2 linked regions of the Kluyveromyces lactis genome follow. The main gene of each other region encodes a partner of the protein of the gene in region 2 in a complex. Links are inferred from orthologs where the notes say so. Each region holds a gene or a part of one and is shown on either strand. Other genes may lie near its edges. The genes, in order: RPB10 and RPC53.

What was found.
Region 1: RPC53 (region 2) and RPB10 share a complex: the UniProt entries of both Saccharomyces cerevisiae proteins name them as parts of the RNA polymerase III (Pol III) complex. The link is inferred for Kluyveromyces lactis from reciprocal best matches to the Saccharomyces cerevisiae genes RPC53 and RPB10.

The regions. Positions count from the first base shown.
Region 1 is NC_006040.1:570,085-582,256, forward strand, and holds RPB10 (DNA-directed RNA polymerase core subunit RPB10), read left to right. Parts: upstream 1-7,249; coding exon 7,250-7,462; downstream 7,463-12,172. Other genes in the region: karyopherin KAP120, read right to left, coding at 1-1,526; NPT1 (nicotinate phosphoribosyltransferase), read right to left, coding at 2,135-3,418; NAN1 (Nan1p), read right to left, coding at 4,205-6,760; dynamin-related GTPase MGM1, read right to left, coding at 7,988-10,639. UniProt on the Saccharomyces cerevisiae protein: DNA-dependent RNA polymerases catalyze the transcription of DNA into RNA using the four ribonucleoside triphosphates as substrates.
Region 2 is NC_006039.1:1,429,389-1,442,415, forward strand, and holds RPC53 (DNA-directed RNA polymerase III subunit C53), read right to left. Parts: upstream 5,274-13,027; coding exon 4,059-5,273; downstream 1-4,058. Other genes in the region: snoRNA-binding rRNA-processing protein NOP14, read left to right, coding at 1-876; autophagy protein ATG9, read right to left, coding at 918-3,644; rRNA-processing protein SAS10, read left to right, coding at 5,677-7,515; MutS family protein MSH5, read right to left, coding at 7,613-10,417; KLLA0_C16445g (cyclin family protein), read right to left, coding at 10,587-11,921; KLLA0_C16467g (alpha-mannosyltransferase), read left to right, coding at 12,614-13,027. UniProt on the Saccharomyces cerevisiae protein: DNA-dependent RNA polymerase catalyzes the transcription of DNA into RNA using the four ribonucleoside triphosphates as substrates. Specific peripheric component of RNA polymerase III which synthesizes small RNAs, such as 5S rRNA and tRNAs.

The sequences.
Region 1 (12,172 bases), on a different chromosome or scaffold from region 2:
CTGATAATTCTCAGTTGATCGGGCGAAGAATTGGATTTTGATGCTTCTGGCAAGAAAACCGTTTCCAAAAGCCTGTTGAAATCCACCATATCAGTGATTGCATGCGAGCTGAGTTGAAAAGCACAAAACAAGGCATCCTTCTTCAAAAAATCATCGATCGAGTCAGATAATTGAGCGGCCTCTGAGTCAATCTTATTTAAAAGATAAGGTGTTAAAAGATTCTGAAAGGAGTCGATTAGGTCTTGGAAAAAATTTTCAGCACAAGGCCTGATTTGATATTCGTAACTAGAACTCATTTGTTCATTTACCCATTCCTCAGGATCCAGAGACCATGCTTCCAAGTCTGCTGGCCGTAATCTCAAATACCAATCAATCAATAAGTCTATTAATTTCTTTACAAGATCTTCGGAGAGGAATTCGGTGGTTAATTTATGAATAGCAGCATCCACTTCAGATTTATCACTTCTAACTTTGATGGTTACAGCACCCTTTTTGGTGATAAAATTAATAACTTTCTTCAATATTGAAAACCCTCTGATTGCAATCGTTTCCCAGAATCCTGTTTGGGACTCTGTGTTTTCATTATAAACATCAGATGCTCTTTCGATTATCAAAGTAGTGAATGTTATGAGAATAGTCTTTGATGATGGCATCATTACAAAGTTTGCCGTAGATGCAGAAATAAGATTGAAATACAATTTGCAGTAACATTTGATAAACTTTTCATACATATCAACTGTCTTAAAATTGTCATAATTCTTCAATAATAATTGGAAATGCTGTTCAGACAGGGAAATGAATTCGACCACAGACTTGTCTTTTTGTGGGGATTCATATCCATCAACTGCAACTCTTCTTAAGACCTTTAGGGCCAGATACGATATTTGCAACTTAGATATATCATCACTCTCTAGAGAGGCAGAATTTGTCCACTTGTTGAAGTAATGCATATAGATCCTGGTTAAAAGTGGAAAAAGTAATGGTATTTTTGATTGCATAGCAGGTCGACATCTCCCAATTCTGGCAACACCTAGTGTCTTTATTATTTGGTTTAAGTGAATCAAAATGTTGTAGACTTTAACATCATCCTTCCATACAGATTCGTCATTTAGAAGTAACTCTACCTGTTCAAATAGATGCGGCCATTCGACAGGGAAATCGATTCGCGCTACTCTAGCAGTAGCCTGTGCATTTTGTATGGCTAATTTATCATTTGGTTCATCTATCATACCGAATAATCTATTACGGATTTGCTGTTTCTCATCCTTAGTAATAGCATTTATTCTTGTTGATCTCCAATACTTGTCTAATCCGTTTTTGAACTGAATAATGGCCAACCATCTTACTTGCAAGGATACTGACAGATCCATATAAATCGATTGTAACAAGTAATGGAAACCTGGCAATATCTCCCAAGATTTAATCTGTTGTTCTGCCTGCCTTTGCACTTCAGACCCAGCATACTGTGGATTCGATGCTTGTTCTAAAACTTGAACAAGGGCAAGTTCTGTTAACTGTGTGGACATATTTGAAATCGTTGTTGAGGGTGCTTATTATCTTAGTGCATATACCTTTTCTAGTGGAAGATACTTGCCGAAATATTTCAAGTGACTTACCTTGTTCCCACCAATAGTGTTACTGAACCCTGAAGTAGGTTTAGAAATTTCAATTTTCAATTGAATAACAAAGGAAAACTCAAGCCAATAATCGAGGTTTTAGTTATGTTCTTGATATGCACGAAACTACGTTCGCTGGCACAAATAGACGCGTCCTACTGGGTATCAATTATACCTGATATGTTACAATGGTTTGATTTTGTTAGTTCATTAGTGCTTTCCCTGTCTAAAATGTTGAAAACCAAAGTGCCAGAGAATTTGGGCAAATAATGACTAAAATCATCACTAACGATATGAAACGAATGAACCAACAACGACACAAATGAAAGGAAGCAGTTACGAAGTACAAGAAGTTTCGACAGGTGTATCAAAGTAATAAAAAAGATTAAATTGTATTACAAATGGATCGTATAGATACCTACAAAAAGCGTTTGTGTTCAATTGAAACACGGTATAGTTAACAAAACCTGGCGTCATATTACAATGAAAAGAATTTCATAAAATCCGGTTTGGTTCAATTAAGCAGCCCATCTATGAGCTTCATTATCACCTGCATACTTTCTCTCAACATAGCCCAATTCTTCCTTCACTCTACGAACTGTCTCTGGGTCACCCATATTTTTACCTAAATTATCGGAAATCTTGATGGCATGGTTCCCATTAACCTCCAGTAGTTTTATGACAATATTCAGCGGTTCACTTTTCACTGAGACATCAGATTTTCTTTGGAAATCGTTGGTGAAATTCGTACCGATACCGAAAGTTGCCTTTAGACCATGTTTATGAGCCACTTGGGCATATTCTATTGCTCGATCTGGGTTAAGAGAGTCTGAATAGCAGATTATCTTTGAGAACTTTGGGAGCTTCAATACGTCATTGTAATGATGAGCGATTTTCTCAGTGTACAAAATTGGGTCTCCAGAGTCCTGTCTCACCCCAATGTATGCATCTGAATAAGGTGGGTAGAACGATTTCAAGAACGAATCGGTACCAAAAGTATCTGTTAGTGCAAGACCCGCATTTTCCATACCAAACGTCTCAATCCAGTAATCCATTGCGTTCTTATTTGCATTCAGATAGTCATTTGTAATGGATGCAATACCCATCATCCACTCATGCGCTACTGTACCGATAGGGTTTACGTTATATTTCTTAGCGAATAACACGTTCGAGGTACCCAATACGTATTTAGACTTATCACAATCCTTAGCGGCATTTATGATACCTTGCATGACAAGATCTTGAGTCTTGAAAGATCTACGACGTCTAGTACCAAACTCACTGAATACGATATCGTGATCCAAAAGCTTTTTGGCCTTGGCATAAGCTTTCTCGACCTGACCATCGTAAGTCCAATCCGTATCCACGAATTTGAAGTACGCTTCTGACACCAACGCAAGCACTGGGATCTCGTACCATATAGTCTTGATCCATAATCCCTCAATGGAGATATCCAACTCGTAATGACCAGGTTCACCCTCAATTTCCCTGGCCTCAAATTTAATTTCATCCTTTGGATTTACTTCGAACCCACCGTTAGATATAAATTCCAAATATTCCGCTGGCAGGTACGGAATAGCCTCCTTGATGTATTTCAGTTCCTCAGTAGTAAGTCTTATATTAGCCAATAATAGGAATTGACCCTTCAACCATTCCACAGCTTCCTTATTGAACGTCATCTGAGGCGATCGGTTGGTATACTTGTACTTGACTTTGACATCCTTAAAATGTGTATAGACAGCGGCATGCATCGTCAATTTGTACATGTCCGTGTCGAGGAATGAAGTTATAACCGGTTCCATTGTGTCTTGGTTTGCTTGTGCTATTATTTTGGATAGATGCCAGACTTTAACATTCTTAAAACCTTTTTACCGCTTCAAAGCATATTATACCTTAATATCTCTTATTTTCTTATTCTGAAAAAATGTCAAGCCATCTTCATATTTATATCAGAAAAAAAAAACAAGTCGTGAAAAAGTGACTTCGGGTGGGAAAAGGAAGACGAAGCTGCTGTTGGAAAAAATGGGAGAAAATATTACCGTTTTGTACGTGCGTTTCTATGTGATTCTGATAAAAATGGATAAAGTGTGATTTAGCATGCACACCGCTCTCTATAAAATGGTGACCAGCAAAAGGATGACATGAGAATTTGCTCAACAAAGTGGATTGGTCTGTGACTCTACTGGGAAGCAACATACAAGTGGATTTGTGAGTCACTGGACTAGTGGTCATGGTATTGGTAGTTTGAAAACAGATATAATATTAATTTTAAAGCGTTGTATAAGACGTATTCTACCGGGAGAAGTGGAGCGATGTCAGTACATCCATGGACTTGGGAATGCGATGGTGGAACTATGTTTCATAACATCTGCCTTAATTTGCTTTGGAGGTGATTTCCTTCTTTTTGATCTCTGTCGCATTAGTTTTTTGTTTTATTTTACAGTTATTAGATTATTTTATTTTCCATATTTAATCTGTCATCGAGTATTTTTTCTGTCAGTGACAGAATAAATAATTAAATGGAGGGTTGTTTAAATATTCTCTGTATTATATACACATACGTATGTTCGAGTCAATGTATAAAACATCTATGTGATAATCTTCATGACGCGGTCAAACAAGGTATTCATTTGAACGTTGTCGATGTTTTCAAACAAACTTGTAAAACTGTTCATGTTAATGGTCTTGTTTTGTGACAAGTTCCCGTTAATGAATTCTAGATCTATGTCTTCATCTACACCATCCTCAGCATCTGTGTTTGCCAAACCTTTCTTTCTCGTAAGCTCTTGTAGTTTTTCGCTGAATGAATCGGGATGTAGAGATTCAAATGCTTGATCATTATTCGATTCGTCCACCATTTCCGAGCTGGTTGTGGTGCTCACGATTCCAAGACGAGACTGGATATCCATGAAAATAAAATCTGCCGCGTAATTCCATACCAACGACGATATGTATTCGTTGTGTTCGAAGCTGCCCAACTTTTCTGTTAGATCGGAATTGAAAATTAAAATGTTGGCTTTATGTTGTAAGGTTGGATTGCCATCAGTTCCTGCTGCTTGTTGGTTAATGGCAAGTGCGATTCTTCCAGTGTTCGCATCGCATGCAAGTAGTCTGGCAAAATGGCCCGGTTTGTAAACTCCGTTCACATAAGGGTAGATATCGAAACTGCTGATGGTGGATTGTGTCAATAAATTGAACGAATGCAAGGAAGTCTTCGTGGAGATTATCAATGTCGAATCGTTGACAAGTGTAAGAGCTTGAATTGGAGTATCCAAAGTGCGTTCGATTGGTAACTCATTTTCATCTTCCAGTAGTTTGAATTCGCTGAATTCAATGGTAGATAGCTTATCTTCAAAAGCGTGGAAGATTAAGGAGCCATCTAAGGACCATGCTAGTTGCACCGAATTCGAAAAATGGTTGTAGTTGGGTAGTAATAATCTGTTCAAACACCAGTTATTCTGTTTCGAATCAAACTTCCAGTATTTTAATCCACCATTGTTATCAGCAGTCAAACAACCCTGGGAAGAATTTATGCTATTTGGAGCTGTAGTTATGTTTGTCACTGGGACGTTGTTACCATGTGGGTTCAACACTTTAGTTTTCAACTCCCATTCTTTGTTGTCATCTAATTTCCAGAATTTTAGAACGTGTGACAACTCCTTAGAAGACAATAAACCCTCAGGTGGGTACTCAACTTCATATGTGATCATCCAAAAACCATCTAGGGTGAATTTCACATCCTGTACAACAGGGTCCTGGATAGTTAACTCAAGTCTAACCTTACCTGCTGCATTGTTGACACTGGATGTAACATACTGGTAGCTCACCTGTTCATTTTTGTATAGATCGTAAGACTGCAAAGATGAAACGTGTGGTAAGTAGAGATGTTTTGTAGATGGATGTACAGACAAAGGTGCGGTGAAATCATGCTTTTTCCTCTTTAGTAATTTTCTCTTTTGCTTTTTCTTCGATTGTAGCATATTGGATGACGACACAGAACTTTTCGAGTTAACTGTAGAAATTGGCTGTTCAACATCGTTTGTAATGGTATCAAATACCGGGAATGGGCCGTTGATGGCAAGTATTGATGATAGATCTGTGGCATTGAGCAATGTAATCTGGTAGTCAGAATTTGTATTATTTTCAGCGAATTGTAACACTAATGAATAGTACTTATCACTTACTGGTAAGCATTCCAGGACGACACCGTTCAATCTTGGCAAAAAGTGTTGCATATTAGTAGCCAACTGCCAAAAACTTAAAACTTTCTCCCAACCACCAGACAGTAAATATGCGTTGTCATTTGTAAATCCTAAGGATAGGACTGAGTCGATATGCCATTTCAATAATCTATGAGACAGATCAGGTAGATTGATCAAATTTATAACACCAGATGCAAATCCAATAGCCAACTGCTGGCCGTCGTTATCTAACGCAAGAGCAGTGACAAAATGGGAATTTATGGTGGTACTAGATGTTGTAGATGGTACTGGGAAGTTCTGAACTGAACTGTTGTCGACCATAGATTTGATCAGCACATGTTTTTTAGTTTCCTGGTTCAAATAAACTAGGGCAAGGTAGTTATTGTTATTAGACCAAGTTGAAAGTAAAACATTCTCAAAAGTTTCAAGGTGTTTAACCTCAGATTCTTCCTCTTTCTCTTCAACGTTTTCATATAGATCATATCTGTAAGAGTTCCCTGTTTTCTGAACTGTAAGTAATTTCTTCCCATCGCCAAGAACTGCAAATAACTCGCCAGTAATATTCAAAGACCAAGTTTTAATCTCCGTGGCTAATTTACCCTTATACTTCAATATAACTACTTTCGCAGTGTTGGTATACACTCTGATCTTATCCATCTCATCGTCAATAATAGGCTCGATATGCACCACCTCTACAGAAGGCTCATCGAGTATCGAAGTCAAAATATCATTATTAGCAAATTTCAATGTCTTAATACATTGTCTAGTATCAATTGAATACACTTTGAACTGATTGTTGAAAGGGACAATGTATGCTGACCCGTCCTGAGTAAGACAACTCACCGATTTTCTAGTCGCGGATCTATTGTGAATCCTAGGAAGAGCGACCTTCCCACCAGAAACAACAGAAAGCTTGTACATTGGTAACGAAGAGTTTGGCATATTTAACGTGGATTCGATAACAGCTGATACTCTTGTTGGTGCCTCTGGCTGATCCTACTCTTGGTATTTTCTTTCTCTGCTTCTCAAAAGACAAGCTCATCATATAACTCATAAGCTCATCGCATCTTTTCAATTATTTGTCTAATGTGGATTCTTTTTTTTCACCGTATGTAGAATTGTAGTTTTGGAAAATTTTATGGTTGAAACCTGTGCAGGACGAGGATTTGAAAAGAAACGATGGTCATCTCTATCGTGAGAAGTGACATATAAGGGCATCTAATGAAAAATTTGGAACCGATGAAAAATTAAAGTATTAAGAATTAAGAAAGCTGGTTGAATATGATGATTTGTGATGCAAATTATATGAGTTTTCAAAAGGTCGAGCAGGTTTTGATCCACTTATTGTGATAGTTTATAAATCTCGGAGGGTTTATTCCAGGTTTCCAGGTTTCTAGGTTTTTTTTCGTTTCGATATACTTTTAAAGAGAGATGATTGTTCCAGTTAGATGTTTTTCCTGTGGGAAAGTTGTCGGTGACAAATGGGAAGCCTATTTGAATATGTTGCAAGAAGAAGAACTAGAAGAAGGTACTGCTTTGACTAGATTGGGGTTGAAGAGATACTGTTGCAGAAGAATGATTCTAACACATGTCGATTTGATTGAAAAGTTCTTGAGATACAATCCTTTGGAAAAAAGAGATTAGGTGGTCTGCTTTTACTATCAATTGCGATACCCCCTTCTACACTAAAATGGTCCATTCTCTTTAATTACGTCTTCACTTTTCTGCCACTGGTTACTACCGCGTTGTTTTCTTGCGTTCTTTGTTTGCATTTTATTACGTTCGACGTATGGACTCCAGAATAGACAAAACCACTGAGTTTCAATTACCATCTGTTTGCTGTAACTTCTGTTCAGCTGCTGAAACGACAAATAAAGAAAGCACAAGAAGCACGCATGCACGCATGCACACAATTCTATTTCATGTACTATTGCATTGTATACTATTCACATCACCTAAATAAAGCATATTCATCTGATTTTATAAATTTGGTATGTTGGGATTTTAAAAAGTTCATTAATTATTTAAAGACGGGAAGCCTTACATAAGATGTTGGCATATTTCCATGTAGAAACATATTAAGATTAAGTTTTGTTTATATACAGTGATCTCGTAAATAGTAGTCATTATAAAGTGTTCCAGAAGCGGTTGTATAGGATACAGTGATCATTATAGGTTTCTTTTCGACAGTCCCTTATAGGATTTTCTGAACATAAGAATAGAATCTATTTTCTCCAAAGCGAGTTCCAATAATTCTTTACGTTTTTGTAATTCAATATGTCTAGCAATTCTGACGTCCTCTTTAGCGAACATCTCGACTTGTTCATCAGATAATAAACTTAGTTTCTTATCCAATTCAATTGGGAAATTGTAAAAGAAGTCACTTAACAACTCAACATTTAGAAATAATACTGCGGTTGATGTTAGTTTATCGCTTACTGCGTTCAAAAATACCTCTGGGCATTTATCTTTCTGAGTCACGGAGAAACATTTGTTCTTCAAGAACTTGAGTCTGAAATTTAATAATGAAGATCTATCTTGTAGGAACATCGCTTCATGGCCCCTTTCAAGCAGTAGGGCAGAGAATCCAAGAGTCTCCTTTCTATTTGGATCCTGTTTCAAGAATTGAATAACTTGATTTAGCTTTCTGTTTCCAACAGCGTTTTTAATCATATTGAATCTATCGTTACATTGGCGTAATTCTTCTTTAATAAGTAGAACCGAGTGTTCTTGAGCCAAGGACCAATCTCTATCTTCCAAATCAATCTCGTATTTGAATGGTTTGATACAGTTTTCAACTTGGTCCGCCGTGGAGTAATATTTGGAATTTAAAACGTTGACAGCAGTGTTTGTAACAAGCTCCTTTATCAAATCATGGTTTCTCAACTGTGACTGATTCAAAATGTTGTTTAATTCTTGAATAATGGCATTCGTAACAAGACTAGTGGACAATCTACCTACACCAATTTTGGTCAAACTAGATTGTGCAAGTTCTAACTTTCTATGCCAATACAATGCAGAGGATTCATCTTCAAGGTCTTGAGATGTTGAAAGCTCTGGTAAGTTCAAATCTTTCCAATATCTGGCAGCAAGTAAGTCCAAAACTTTTTGATCCAAATCGGCTTTGAGAATTGATTTCAGATCGTTTCTACCAAACTTTTCTTGGAATTCTTTGATTGCAACTTTAAGAACGTCGATGTTGTTCAATAAATATGACTTTGGAGTTAGTTGACGATCGTTGAACTCCACCTTGAAAAGATATGCCGCGTCATCTAATTCCTGTTGAATCAAACGGGAAGTAGGTTCAAGAGCATTGCTCATAGAAACCTCTAAGATTTTGATCAATTTCTCTCTTAATTTTTTCGTACTCACTTGGCACGCAGTGAAATCCTTCTTGTGTTCTTTGAAAAATTCGTTCTCAAACTGCTTTGTTTGAGTTATAGCTGTAGTCTCTGTTGGGTCTGTTTTCTTTTTTGAAAACAAATGACTTCCAGAAGATCTGTTGTCGAATAATCTCTGCACTGGAGTCGTACTTGGACTCTTTGTGATGACACCGACATATCCCATTTTTAGAGGGTACTTTCTGTTATTAAGGATAGCTCGAGCAGTCTTAGCATCCACAAGATCCAATTTAGTGACAACACCTATGGTTCTTAGACCTTGAGGATCAGCTACTTTAGATGCACGAAGAGCAGCACTATTTGCAAGATCAACGTCTGCGGCTGAGATAGCCAAAATGATGTTTGGTTCTTCGAGATATTTGTCACATAGCTGACGAATCTTAGATTTAAGTTCTATGGGCTGATCAACAGCTTCCACTTGAATGTAACCAGGTAAATCAACTAAGGACAAATCTGGAACTCTCGAAGATTTGATTGTGAGCTGGATAGGGTCATCTGAGACAGCTTCAGTGCTAGGCACAGCCATGTTCATTTCCGTTAAAATTCTTTTAACTTCTTTGAAATCCTTCAAATTATATATTCTCATAGTGGGGAAATCTGCAGTAACTTCTTGAGATGTTGGAGTGTTCACTAGGGTCAATTCAATTGGTCTTCTAGTAACCATATTAGTACCCTTTGGTAAAAAGTCTTTGCCGACAATGGATTCCAAGACAGATGATTTACCACTTGACTGAGACCCTATGACAACAATAGATGGTAAAGCTAGATTGGCTGAAGTAGAATCCACTTTATTCAAGATTGATCTGATTTCGATCATTTGCTTTGTTAAATTTAACATTTCATCCTGCGTGTTGTCCTCAGCCTCTTCCAAGTCATCATCTTCCTCATCTTCATCGTTTCCATTCTTTTTACGACGTTTTCCATCTGCCGATTCCTCTTCATCGTGCTGATTCTTCAATGTCTTCCCTTCATCATCATTTTCATCATCTGATAATGAAGCCAGGAGAGTAGCTGCTGCAACGGCATCCGACCCGTTATTGTCACCACTGTTTCCTCCATCGTCCGACTGTCCATCTCTCTGAAACCAATCACCCAATTTATCCTTGACATCTCCCGTGAAATCTTTGAATTTGGATAGTTGATCCTGTGTAAATTGTCCGGCTTCGTTCACTTTATAAGCAACGTATGAACCAAACGCAGCGGCACCACCCCCAACGTAAGCCGGAATACGAACCATCTTGCCTATCATACTGGGGAAAAACGATGCGAACCTCTTGTTAGTCAAGGCAAAAGGACCCTTCATATCATTAGTAACATTTGACATTATCGATGGTCTAACCATAAATCGCAACGCACCTGTCCTGGCTGGACCCATCCATAGCTGTCTGAACAGCACCCTGCGGCACTGGTTAGCAAACATATATTTGGATCTTTGTTGAACTCTTGATTGATGTATACAGTGTGTAGTAATACTTCAGAGACGGACAATAAAACGTCAGGGCATCTTCTGGTTTCTTCCCTGTTATATATGCTATTATTTCAATATGTAATAATAAAACCATCTCATCACAGAGAAAAGAGAAGTAGAACATTCTCATTTCCGGGTAACCACCGCTGGATGTTTTTTCTATTTCTAAATCACATGATTAGAATATATGTCTATTTTTCATGTATCATTGAGAGGCAGTCGTTTGTCCGGGTAATATGGTAAAAGATTCCAGTTCAGACCAGGTGCGAAACTTTCAGCATCTCTTAATAAGCCCATAAAAGGGAGCTTTCTTATTGAATGATAAAGCTAACCCCTAAACAGCGAAGACTACACCGTTGTTCAACCTATAGTACACATGCATTAACTAACCATACACAGCACAACACAATTGTAGCACTAAATTATTGCGAAAGCGTCAGAAATAACGTTACAGAAAAAAAGGAAAAAGGAATGCTATCGTTTCCCTCCCCCAGATACTTCTTTTCTCTTTAGACTCTGTGCAGTGCATAGTAGACCCAAAAATTCGCGTCTTATTTTTTGATCGGTAGTTTTTTACACATCCCACAGATAGACAATAAAAAAGAGTCGAAAAATCAAAACAAAACAAAACACGAACTGAATGGAAATATAAAAAAAACAAACAAAAAAGCCTTAGAGATACATTCCATGTTATTTACAACAACAACAGTTAAGAAGTTTTAAAGAGAAAGAGAGAGCTATATATCATCGTTTGAACCCTATTGTTTGAGCTATTCTGTTTATTTGTTACCAAAGTTTGATTGAGTGAAATTTAGAAGTTTTTCTGGCCGCAAATTGAGACGTTATCTGCAATTATAAACAAAAGTTAAGAGAGCAAAAAAATATTATTGTGATTTAATATTGAAAGAAAGATTTTAGCATCCAGTCATATTATAAGTAACTGTCCTATTCCTCTACCATTATACAATACTATCAGAAATGGCTGCCAAAGTTGTTAAGACTACTAAGAAATCGACCGCTGTGTCCCCAAAATCCAAGGCCGCTTCAAAATCAGGAGCTTTGCCAAAGTATAAGGGTATGTGACTTTATTTTTTTTCCTTCGTTTTTCCGTCACTGTGCTTTGCTCTGAGACTGGGAGCCTAGCTTTAGTTAGATTGTTGATTGTTGATACTATGAACTACCAGTGTAGCAGACCATGCTTTGTCACCCCTTCAAAATTGTAATGTTTGTTTTTCTTCATTGATTTTTTTTCTGGCTGCACACATTATTGTTGTTCATTTGAAATTACAATCTATCATTGGTTAAGCTTCCATTATGAAATGTTAATTCACTTTACTAACTTATGCATCACATTCTCTCGTCGCATGCGTGTGAGTTCCTTTTTCTTTTGTGCAGAATTGATTACTGAAGCTATTGTTGCTCTAGCTGAACGTGGTGGTTCTTCTAGGCAAGCTTTGAAGTCTTTCATCAAGGAAAAATACCCAG
Region 2 (13,027 bases):
CATTTAGTCATTACTCCCTGTCTGCTTCTAATTGCAGAGTTTTTGGAACAAATTAGGTTCAATTCTCTTCAAAAATTAATATTTGGTTCGATACTGGTTAGAATCGCCATCCAGTATCAACGTATAAGCAAGCGTTATATTCCTGAGTTAACATACTTCTTGCAGACATCTTTGCGTTCTCTAATACCGAGTACCAAAGGGGAAACATTAGAAAACAAAGAAAAACAGGAGGACAATTTATCAATAGTAGGCTCGGATATTAACTGGTCCAAGGTCGCCCCTTCTTTAGAATTACACTCATTATTTTCCGAGGATCTAGAAAAGCAAGAATCTATCAAACTGTCCGTGCTGGTCAACAATCTAGAATCAATTGATTGGTGCATAACGAACATCTGGAAAGATCTTACTGCCTTCCCAGAAATCATTAATCCCTTCAAAGACATACTAAACGTGGCTGCCGAAGTATATCCTGGTACTTCTAAACCAAAACAATTAGTGGAAAAGATCGAAAAGCTATTGAAATTCCAAGAACGTCTGCCATTGACGTTGCAACAGCATAAACCACTGGCGATTCCATCAAATACGCCTAAATTCGAAGAGAACTTCAACCCAGATAAGAAGTCGTATGATCCAGATAAGACCAGAAGTGAGTTGAACAAGATGAAGGCGCAATTGAAGAAGGAACGTAAGTTCACTATGAAAGAAATACGTAAAGACACTAGATTCGAGGCAAGACAAGGCATTGAAGAAAAGAAGAAGGAGTACGCCGATTACCATTCCAAGATGGCACGTATTGTCAATCAAATCAGTACTGAAGAAGGTGCTGAGAAAAACAAATATGAGCGTGAAAAGAAGCTCCGTAATACCAAACGTTAACTGCATATTATATAATCTATACTCAACATTAATAAACTTTATCATCGATTGCGATCTGATTTTTTGTAATATTGGTTTAATAGGCCCATAACACCATTTCCCGCCTTCAGTTCGTCAGCATTATCAGCAATATCATCCTTAAAAAGGGTAGATTTGTTGATAAGTGAACCACTCAATGAGCCTAATTCAAGGTCCGAACTACGATCCGGGAATCTCTTCACCCTTGATCGATTAAGATTTCTCTTACGATTGGAGTTTTTACCTAAGGCAAATTGTGTCTTCCAGGAATAGTCTTTAGTAGAGCTGTATGGGTGATAAGATGGCTCGATTGGAGAAGCTGGTAGCTGATTTTTGCCCACTGCATTGCCTGCATTCTTGTAATCGTCAACGAAGTACATATATGACTGAAGCATTTTGTTAACACCCTCATCCGATTCGGTTTCACTATCATCCTGTTCTGCTTGGGAAAACATTCTCTTAGTTTGTTTTTTGGCCTTGGTACCTTTGTCAATTTTAGTAGCTTCAAACATTGCGTACTTACACACGTATCCCAACCCCTCCTCATAGACGGTACATTCTCTAAAAAAATCTATTATTCTTTCTGAATTCTTTGGCAGGGAGAACCATAATATGAAGGGAGTGATTATAATGCTGACTAGTTCCCTTAGTAATAATGTGATTCTCAAGTTGTAAAGCCTACAAAACTCATTTTTGATGTCCTCTGTATGATATTTCCCCTTCCATTCCTTTGGAGCGTAGTGTGTATACGACACAAGTTCCTCCAGTGTTTCCTCTGGTTTGAGAACCGTATACTCATCGTTGATAGAACTGTGACAAACTGCCCATAAAGTACCAAAAACAGTCATGTAAAATAAAACAGTTCTGTCAGGTGTAATTTCGAAGTTTAAGAAATTGTCTGGATCAAATATTGTCAGAATACCCAAGATTGCCACAAAAGAACCGGAAACAAACTGTATAAAGCTTAAGGTCAAGCTTAATAATGTATTGGGAAATTGATTGACATAATTGTCCGCTATTATCATGCTCAATCTCATTCTTTTTTGGAAAATATGATATAATTCATTGTATTCCCTAAATTTCCATTCAGCAATAGGAGTATATTGCCGAGAACCTATTGATCCTGGGGAGGTTTTGTACTCATTAAAATATCTGAAGAAGTTCAATAGAACAAAGTATGTTACTAAGAATGGGGATAAGATAATGTTCAAGAATCCAGCAAGAACAAACCTCTTCTTTAACTCCTCTCCCAGGTATTCTCTCTGGCTTTCTCTTAAGAAAGCTTGCTTTAAATAGCCCTTCTCATTGAATGCAAAACCTAAAATACAAAGATTTATGTTCCATTCGAGCGTCTTGGTAAGAGCACATGTTCTTAGTAGAGGTACTGGTAGGGATAAGTCAAGAATATTGTTATCATATAGTGCAATGACAAAATTCTCTTTGCGCATAATTCGATTAGCCACGTCATGCGCACTCAACCTGTTTTTTGCTTTGACTTCGGTAGCATTTGCTGTGATCGCATTCTGATCCTTAAGTAATACTAGTTGTTGAATCACACTTTGCCATGGAATAGTTTGTAAATCTTTATCTGATATGCTTAAAAGGTAGTTGTAAAAGTTTCGGATGTCCTTCAATGCTTTCACATCAAAATACAATTGTAGAACTTTAAGCCCTATGAAGGCGTAAAATATCCATAGAAATACCTTTGCAGTTGGAGAGATCTGTGTCTTATAACATTGTTCAATATGAATTTCTTCAAAAGTATGAGACGATGACAACCTTGAATAATCTATGCAATGGCCCATGTAAGTTGAAATGAATACCACAAACAAGATTGTAGCTAGATGAATAACCTTCTCTGTGATGATACAGTAGAATCCGTTCCCTAGGTAATATTCGTACACCTGCTGCAAAAAAGTGTCTAAATTTTCGATATTTGCCCATTTCCATAAAGCTCGTTCCTTTGGACTAAGTGAAGATAAGCTGTTCTTTGAAGTGCTTGTCAAAGTAGAAATATTGTTAAATATTGGAGGAGGTTTCAAATTGAAATGAGTTGATTTACCTGGTCCTGATTGTTCTGCGACTGATGGCTTTCGGAAGAGAAAACTCTCCTCAAGATTATTCGGCCTTCCGTTATTGCGAAACATCTTTGCAGGGCTATTCCCTAACAATCTTTCGAATACCCTGCTTTCCGAAGGGTTCTTGGTTGACTTAGTTGCTCCTGTAATGGGGTTTTTACCACCTAGATTCAGTCGTTGTCTACCTATGAAAGGTATCGTTTCGTCAGATCCTCTATTACTGTCACGATTTGATAATGGCTCCTCGTCTTCGCTGCTTGAAGGCTGTCCGTATTTCGAAACAGAGCTTGCCAAGTCTTGATCGCTGAAATCCTCTTCTTCTAAGTGCACTTCATCTTCTTCTGTACCTCCCTCATCGGGCTCTGATTCCGATTGTATTGTTGCCATCCCATCAGATGCTGTATCAAATCTTATGGATTGTGGCTGTTGTATTAGCGGCTCCTCATCATTGCTGTCCTCGTTAGATGAAGATGGTTCCTGATCGGATTCTATTAGCCTCACATTACCTTCATCCTCGGCATAGTTACTAAAATCCTGTTCCGTAGGCATAGTAATATGGCTCATCTCAGCGGCATCCAAAGAGTTTTCTACAGCAGATGAGTGCACACCAAACACTCTTGATAGAAATGTGTTCTTGGATCCACCATTTACTTTATCCTGACTATCCGTCATAACTCAGACTTCCAAAATTTTATTGATCCAAACTTTTCAAGTTGATTCAATCAACTGACTAAATACCGTGAGAGGTAAGGTTATGGTTGTAGTGTCCTTTCGATTATACCTTGTTTTGTGTTTGTTGAAGTCATTTTTAAGGGAATCCTTGTATACATGAACAAGTTTTGTAATGGAGCCCTGCATATCCAAACATCAACTCGTACTTAATGACTATTCTGATTTCAGGAATTATAACCTGAAAAGGCGATGCATCTTTATTAGGTTACTATGCAGTAGCTGCTGATTGTGTTCGCAGTGGTATTTGAATCTCCCATTCTTGATGTAGTTGTCTACATTAAATTAATGTTATCATACGAATTGATTTGCTGAGCTTTTTCTTCAACTATCATGTACATGCAGAAATCTATATAATTAGATATGTGGTGTTACAATCGCTCTTCCGTCGATTTGGCCTAGTAGCTCCGCTTCTTCTCCCTCCAAATCTAGTGTAACCACGTCTTGCAAAAATGTAGACTCTGCGCCCCTGCTGATATCCATTACGACGTCCCCGATCTTGATTGACATTTTGCCGGATCGATGCATTCTAATTGAACCAACGTTTCCGATCAAAGGCTCAGGTGAATCTATTTGTGTTTCTTTGCTGTTTTTACTATTTGATTGTTCACTTCCTTCATCTACTTTTGCTTCACCATTTGGCTTTACATCTTCTTCGGTGGATTTCACTGGGGGTTGTGGCTGAAATTCAGGTAGATTTGATGGGAACTGGAAGAACATAAACTTATTTGGAACGTCGTTAATCTTGTTTAACTTTTTGTACATATGTTTATGATCCTCAAATAACAAATTTGTTTCCCTGAGAGCTTCTGCGCTGTCAACAGATTGGAAATCTTGTTGAAGTTGAAGCAAACGCAGTTTTTCTTTTAACTGCTGTTCCTTCTCGTTCACTATGTCATTTAAAGTACCATCCGATTGTTCTGGTTCTAGCTTCACAGGTCCTGGTGTTGGTTCCCTGGTCTGCAAAGTTGACATGGATTCCTGGACAACTTTCTGTAGAGAATCCACCTTTTCGTGATTGATACGAACTGCCCTGACAGGGAAAAGATTGGCCAATTGTTTAGAGGCTCTGGTCTCTTCACTCATGGCTGCATCAGTATTAGAATCCTCATCTTCATCAAACAGATCGTCAGTTTCCTTCTTGAAGTCTGCCTCTGTATACTCTTTCCCCATGTTAATTCTCTTCCCAGCTTTTGAATCTTCTGCGTCCGATCCCTCTGCTTCATCATCAGAAACAGCTTTCAAACCGCGTTGCACAAGACTGCTTTGAGAACCCTCCGTCTTAATGAATCCATTATTCCCTTTATTAGATCCTCCAGAGAAATTACCAGCTGCCAATGGGCCTGATGTGATAATTCTTGTGTTGTTTAAATACTTCGGCTGCCTCTTCTGGTTGCCCTGTGGTTTCTGTGTATATTTCTTCTTCTCAACCTGTTTATTCGGCTCTTCTACCTTCAGAACGTTAGCATCTCGTTCCTCCTTAGATTTACGAGCTACCACTTTGGGCTTAAACTTCAGCGAGGTTCCGGTTGATGGTTTCCCCTGGTTCAATCCAGGTAAACGTCCACTCATCTTTAGTTGATTCCTATCACAATTTGATGCAAATAACTTCTTGACTCAAGCGTTTAATACTGCGATTCTCGACCGTTTCTTCGTTCAACAGCAAATCCTAATATGAAAACGAAGACTAGTTACTGGATACTAACCCTTGCATTGACTATTTGCGCATCAACTTTGCTCATCTCATTGTGATCTCTTCCAGTAGTAGTGCAGCTTTCAATTTTGGTGAAAAATCTTGAAAAAGCAATGTTGGAAAATTTTGTTTAAAGTTAAAGCTCATCTCATCTCATCTCAATTCAGAGAATAGGTATAACTAAGAGAATGACAAGCTGCATAACAGGTAACTACTATCAGCCGCTGTAATCGACTGTATATTGAGTTGGACTTAAATTGTACTGGACATTGTACTTCAAATATGGCAAAGAGAGGTGCAAAGGTCTCAAAAAGAGGGTCTAATCGTAGACAAGACCAGGAAGAAGATGTTGCCTATGGCATGAATGAGGTCGATGACTTTGCAAACAAGAGAGAAAAAGTGCTACTTGAGGACGCAGGTCTTGATCAAAGGGAACCAGAAGATGATTTTGATCTTTCAGTGGATGAAGAAGAAGAAGTGATGGGAATGTCAGATGAAGATAGTGAGGATGAAAGTGAAGAAGTTGAAGATGATGAAAGTGAACAAGAAGAATTAACAGGTGAAGCTGTGTATAAGAAGGTTTTTGGTAGGAAATTAGACGTTGGTGAGAATGCAGAAGAAGAGAGTGGTACTATGCTGGACAATGAGAACGCATGGGGTGCTTCTAAGGCAGAATACTACGGTGCCGATGACTTGGACGATGAAGAGACTGCAAGAGAGATAGAAAAGGAAGCTTTGCGCCAACAGAAGAAACATTTGGAAGACCTTCATATGGAAGACTATCTTGAGGATGAAGTTGATGAAGAATGGGTAAAAGAAGCTAAGGAATTCGATTTAGGTCAATTTAAAGATCAAAAGGATCAAGAACGTCCTACTGAAATCTCCCTTAGGGATGTTCTCAACATGGACTTAGAGAGAAAGGAAGGTTTCTTGAAGACATCCTTCCCAGAATACCTTCCTTTATCAAAGGAATTCAGTAAATTATCACCCGTTTTAGACGAGCTGAAACTCAAACAAACTGAGGAGAATAATGAATTGATTCAGATCAAAATTATGGCATTATCTTCATATCTTGGAACAATTAGTTCATATTTTGCAGTTTTCTTATATGAATTACAGAATAACGAAGATTTCATTTCTATGAAAGATCATCCGGTAATGGAGCGTATTTTGGAGTGTAAAGAAATTTGGAGACAAGCTAGCGAACTACCGGACACAGAAGCAATACGCTTTGAGCAAGACTCTGACGCTGAAGAAAATATTTCGGATATTGGTGAACTTGATGAAGAACTATTACAAGAACAGGATGAACTGGACAGTGAAGCAAGTGCCAGTGACGATGAGGCAGAAGATGAGAATGAGGACGAGGAGGGTGATATGGAAAGCGAAGAAGAAGAAAACTTTGATATCGAACTTTCGAACAGAGCTGCAAACAAAGTTCAGAAAGACAGGATATTACAAGACGTTGATGACTTTGTTGAAGATGAGATTGCAGATGTTGATGTCCAAGAAAAGAAAACAAGGAAGAAGACGTTACGTTTCTACACTTCCAAAATCGATCAAAAGGCTAGTAAGAAGACTGATAGATTCAAAGGTGATGACGATATTCCCTACAAAGAAAGACTTTACGAAAGACAACAGAGGCTACTTGAAGAAGCTAGAAAACGTGGCTTGCATGATAAAAATGCGGCAGATCTTAATACGGATGATATCAACTCGGATGATGAAAAGACTGCCAAAGACATTAAACGTGATGCCGAGAATGAATATTACAAGAGCATCAGGGCTGATAGACAACACAAGAAAGATTCCCGTCTTCAAGCACACAAAGAGGTGGCGAAAGCTGCTAAGGAAGGAAAATTGGCTGAATTGGCCGAACACATTACAGAAGATGGTAAACGTGCAATCAACTATCAAATTCTAAAGAATAAGGGTCTAACACCAAGAAGGAAGAAGGACAACAGAAATTCGCGTGTCAAAAAGAGAAAGAAGTACGAAAAAGCTCAAAAGAAGCTCAAATCTGTGCGTGCTGTCTACTCTGGTGGTCAATCTGGTGCGTATGAAGGTGAAAAGACTGGTATTAAGAAGAATCTAACGAAGTCTGTGAAATTTAAAAATTAGTACTAGATGATATTTAGTGTATCTATATACTCCATGCATTAAAAAAAAACTCGCATTATTCATTCGTGTAATATTTTGCTTTCTGAGTACTCACGAATTAGCAGCTTTGTCCAGCATCCAATATTCTTTGTAGTTTTCTCCGTATTGCATGCTGTATCTTGTCAGAATGGATGGACTCAAGATCAAGATCCCATGCTACAAACTCTTTCGCAATATCCTGGTCAATTCTAAATTGGTTCAATTCTTCGATAGTTAGTTTGCTGTAGTTCTTAGCAATGTCAAATCCATCTGCTATCTGAGTTGTAAGTTCTTGTGCTCTTTGGACAATGCTCTGCCTTAAGCCACAGTTTTTGGCACAGAATATACCAAAAGAGTTCGTGGCAATTCCGGTGCTCAATTTGTACAAAAAGGTAATCATTTCATCTCTGGCATTTCCTTTATTTTCCTTTTCCATCACCTGCAATAAAATCTCGGTTTTATAGAATACTACACCATTAATTTCACTAGTAAGGATGTTTGGACTGAAAACTTCGTTATAATGAGTAGATGCGATCACTCTAGGGCAAGACGAGCTCCTTGAAAAGTCCTTTATAATTGCTCCGAACATAGATAGGCCGTCAATCACATCTGTCCCTTTACCAAACTCATCAATCAAAAGTAAGCTTCTCGGCGTTGCCAATGACAAACACTTGGACATTTGATTTGCATCAATCTCAAATGTACTCTGCGTCTTTGCTACAGATTCCCGAGTCACTACTCTGGTCAATATTTTGTCCACGAGACCAATACGTGCATTATCAGCAGGAACGAAACAACCAATATGAGCAAGAAACACTATAAGTCCGTTCTGCGTTAAAAAAACAGATTTACCAGACGCATTAGCGCCAGTAATGACAGAAATTCTTTTGAAATTATTATTCCAAGTATCATTATCAAAAGTTCCGCCAAGCATGCGAAGGTCATTGGGGATGTATGTGTCTACAAGTGTTTCATATAAGGGGTGCCGGCCGTTTTCAATTTCAATTACACATTCCTTTTCCTCAATGACAGGCTGGACATAATTTTGGCTAATGGCGGTCTTAGCAAATGAGACTAAAACCTCGAGCTCTGCGAAACATTTTCCTGACAGCAAAATTGCTGGCTTTGTATTCAAGACTGCATTTTGTAGTTCAAGTAGGATCTCCAACTCTAAATCGGATATTATTCCATGAAGGTCACCATAGTGTTCGTCCATAACTTTCGTATCATCATTCTTGTAATATATTACATTCTGTTCTCTGAAAATTTCAGTCCAGTATAGCACAGCTGGATCGAACATATCTTCTATGGATGCATCAACACATAGTAAATAACCAAGTTGTGGTAGATATATCGCATTTATCAAAGCATTTCGTCCGTTCAATTTTTTAAAAAGCTTCTCCTCATTACTCTGCAATGTTGATATTAGTGTATTGTTTGCCTCATTTGCCACAAGATTTAAAACACCTTCAAGCTCGAAGTAAGTTCCTCTTGCCTCATCTAGTTCTATACGAACTTTATCCTTTATAACAATCGCATCTTGGTTAAGGGACCCCTCCAAATCAAGAACACTTTCGGTTTTCTTTAATATCTTCAACATCATGCTTTTATCAAGGTCATTTTTTATGGTGTTAAATAACCGGCAATTATCTGAAGAATCGTAGAGAATATGGATTAAGTTTATGATCTCGACAGTTTTGGTACAGAAAGAAATATATTTTCTCCACACTGAGAGTTTTACTGCGCCTTTGCTCATTTCATTTACAATGCTGAATATATTAGGCATGTACTTTAGAGAATTTGAAAGATCGTCGAATAATATCGCATTCTTGCCGTCAATTAGAGATCGTATCACCTTTTGTCTCTCTTCTATTAATATTTTATTAGATAGTGGACTGGCTAACCAGGATTTTAGCAATCTTTTACCAAGTTCTGAAGTAGTGTGATTGAGCAAATCAAACACAGATGAATAGCCGGTTTTTGTTATTTCACAAAAATGTCCTGGTATCTGGATGGGTTTAAAAATATGTAAAGCCGCCAGAGTATCATCATCAAGAAAGAGCCGATCCTTCAACATTAATTGTCTCACTATATTGACCTTTTCGAAAAAATTAAACATCTCACATTCGTCAAAATCAACGGCGGAGAAATGATCCATAGATTTTATCAAGCAGCTCAATGACATGGTTGTCACTTTAGCGGCTTTGTTTGTACCCAATTGGTCCAAGATCTGAAATCCTTGAATATCTATCAATTGTTGGGACTCTTGAAAGTTGTTCCAATGTTGAACAAAATATTCTACTTTAAATTTGTCATGGGACTGCATCTGCAATCTAAAACTGCGCTCGATTGACAAAAATTTGAGGTTTTCATAAATCACTTCCCCTAACCTGCTTGAACACAACACTACGCTAGGTTCATTTTCAAGTATCAAATTTTCTAGAATCAAGTTCACTTCATTCATATTTTCTGAACTTCTGGCATTAACAATAATGTCCTGATTTAGAACCGATAAAGTCTCTTGATTTATGTCCAATAGAGATATTCCAAGCTTGGACTGCTGTAGTTCCAAGCAGAATACTACTTCATTTTCCCAATTAATGCTTTGCTCATGCATGGTTTCATCTGCATATTTTTCCAATACATTTCTGTTTTCACCTTCGGCGGGTATTTCGGTAGCATTGCTATCCTGTATATTCCCAATACCTGGAATTAGTTCAGAATCGACCGACCGATCAATAAATAACGGACGTTTAGCCGTGACTGGCATTGTTGATGGTGATTGGTCTTGAATAATTGCCTGTACCGTTTCTTCCCTTCGTTTTCTTCGCTCTGTCAATAAACAGTGCAGTTTAGTTTTGAAAGTAAAACTGAATAATCTCATTCTTTTCACTTTTAAAGTAAATTTGTGCTGGAAATGAAATTTAAACGAAATATAACATTAGATAAAGAAGTGAATTGACACTTTTTCTTTGCTTTCTTTGAGTTAAGTACTATCTAGATGTGTCGGGAAGGCGTATGAGTAATGATTAGCCGCTCTCTTTTTGTCGAATTTATTTCTGTTCCAACCGACTCTCGGCCATTGAAATCCACTTCGCTACTACAAAAGCAGATTTCCTATGGCGACTCCTCGAGTACTTATCGAATATTGCTTTGTGACGTTCTGTTGCATGTCTGCATGAATCCAAAATCATTGTTGCCAACGGTATTAATTGCTCTTCTGTGTAACCGGAATAATATATGTGTTCGTCAGACCAACCTGTGAGTCCGATAATGATTTTACTCAAGTAATATGCACCTGCAGCAAGCCAAGATGGTGGCGCTGCTATTATTTCTGGCTCCATTATGGAAGTTTCCAATAAATATTTAGCCACGGTTCTTGTATCGTATTCATAATCATCCGCTTTACTAACTCTTCTTAAAAATGACATTGGACCTGGCCATCCAAATTCGAAATTTAACGTATTGATCATGAATCTTTCTGCCCTTAGAATCTCTTCTCTAGTGTATGCATTGTCCAGCATATACAGCATATCTTTCAAAGTTGGACAGTTGATCTCCTCGTATTTGGAAGCAATGAATAGAGCTGCTGCACCGACTAATTGCAACCTGTTCAAAGTGACTTGTTTCTTTGATAAAAACCTATCGATAATGTTTACCGTTAAAAATAACGTCTCAGGTAACAACTGGAACCTATCGTGGACTTGAACAATCCAATCGATCAACGTTGATCTGTATTTCCACGTTAGTTCCGGTTGATGTTCGATATACCTGGGATTCGGCGAAAATTTCCTCTCCAAAAACTTCAAATGTTCAAAAATTTCAATGGTATATTCCGATACCATAACAGGGTCCCATGTGTCCTCATCGTTAGGGTCAGGCTCCTCACGGTGTAACCTCTCATACACATATTGATATAACCTCTCTGAATGTTCCGTTACCACCGGCACTAACGGCGTAAAACTTTCATCTACGTCTTCCATTTCCTCACTTATATCTCCGCCTGTTTCTGCTTCTTCATCTTCTTTAAAAGCTAGTGCCTCACTATCAGTCTCCGCATCATCCTCATCATCTGCTTCAACCTCAATCAAATGGTGTTGTACTGTTTCGTTACTATTGCTAGACAATTGTTGCGACCGTATACTCTCAGTACTCACAGAAGAAACAAGAGTCTGTTCTCGTAGTTTTTGAGCCCGTGCTACTACTAAATCATCGTCATGACCACTAAACAAATCATTCTCCTTCGCATTCTTTACCCTTTTCTCCTTCAAGAATCCAGCATCAACAAACGCTTTCTTGCTGTCACCGTCAACACTAAACCGATTGGCCCTATTGTTAATCTGTGAAGTAACATCACCAAGTGCTACCCTTTGCTGCATTTGCATCATCAATCAAAGACGCGGACTGAAGAACAATTAAAAAAAGAACACAATAAGCACAAATCTTTATTCAAAGCCAAGTATTCAATTCCTGGATGAATATCCCTTCCTTAGTAACTAAATATGAATTCAGAAGAAAAGTAGAAAACTCGATGTTATACCAAACTAAATCGAACCGATATAAAGGTACAATGGCTCTATAACATAACGATACGACCTCTAGCAGAGAATCCAAAACTTATTTGTATCCTCCAAATTTGATATATTATGTATGAAGAGTGAAGTTTTCCTGATGAAATCTTTAAAAGAGAAAAATGTTCAAATCGAGGAAAAGTGTAAACACAAAAAAATAAAAAAAAAAGGTTCACCATACAAAAACTCTTTTGGGCAATATTTCCTTTTCTGGATATAATTACTTGTTTGGGAATTCTCTTTTTATCATGTTACACGACGCGTGTTGGACCCATTTTTGGCGTGTCGTCAATTACGTTATAGAGAAGAAGAGCTAAGAATGGAATTTTGGAAAATTAGAGCTTTAAGCTGGCTCAGTATGCATGGTCTGCCCGTGGATGGAATCAATTATCAATATTGATATACTTGCAAGTTCACAGGAGGTGATTAGTTGTATACTCTGTTGCTGGATTGCTTGCTGGTTAGGTTCCAACGTTTTGAGCTTCTAGTAAGATAAAAAATCATTGACAATGGGTATCTATAGGCCCAGAGCTGCCATTAGAAGGCTGTTCTTGGTGGTACTGATAGTAGTCGTTCTTAATGTCACCGTTTTCTTTCATGAACCGACAAAGAATTATATCGTCGATACATACCACGGTGCATTAGATACAAGCAGGCCTGATTCGCAGAGCAGTTTACCAAGCGCACCAAAGCTTGACAGAACAGATGCTAGTGATGAGTTTTTCAAGACATTATTTGCGCAGTTGGAAGGTGCAGCTCCAATGAAGAGAGAATTTGGTTGGGGTGATATTAAGGCTAAAGAGTGTGATATGGGGGACGTTGGATTCGATTCCAATGGTCGTGATGAGAGGTTAAGTTATGATAATTTGGCCAAATGTTTGCAATTACCCGAGAGTAACTATAACTCTTTGAAGAATGGCCAT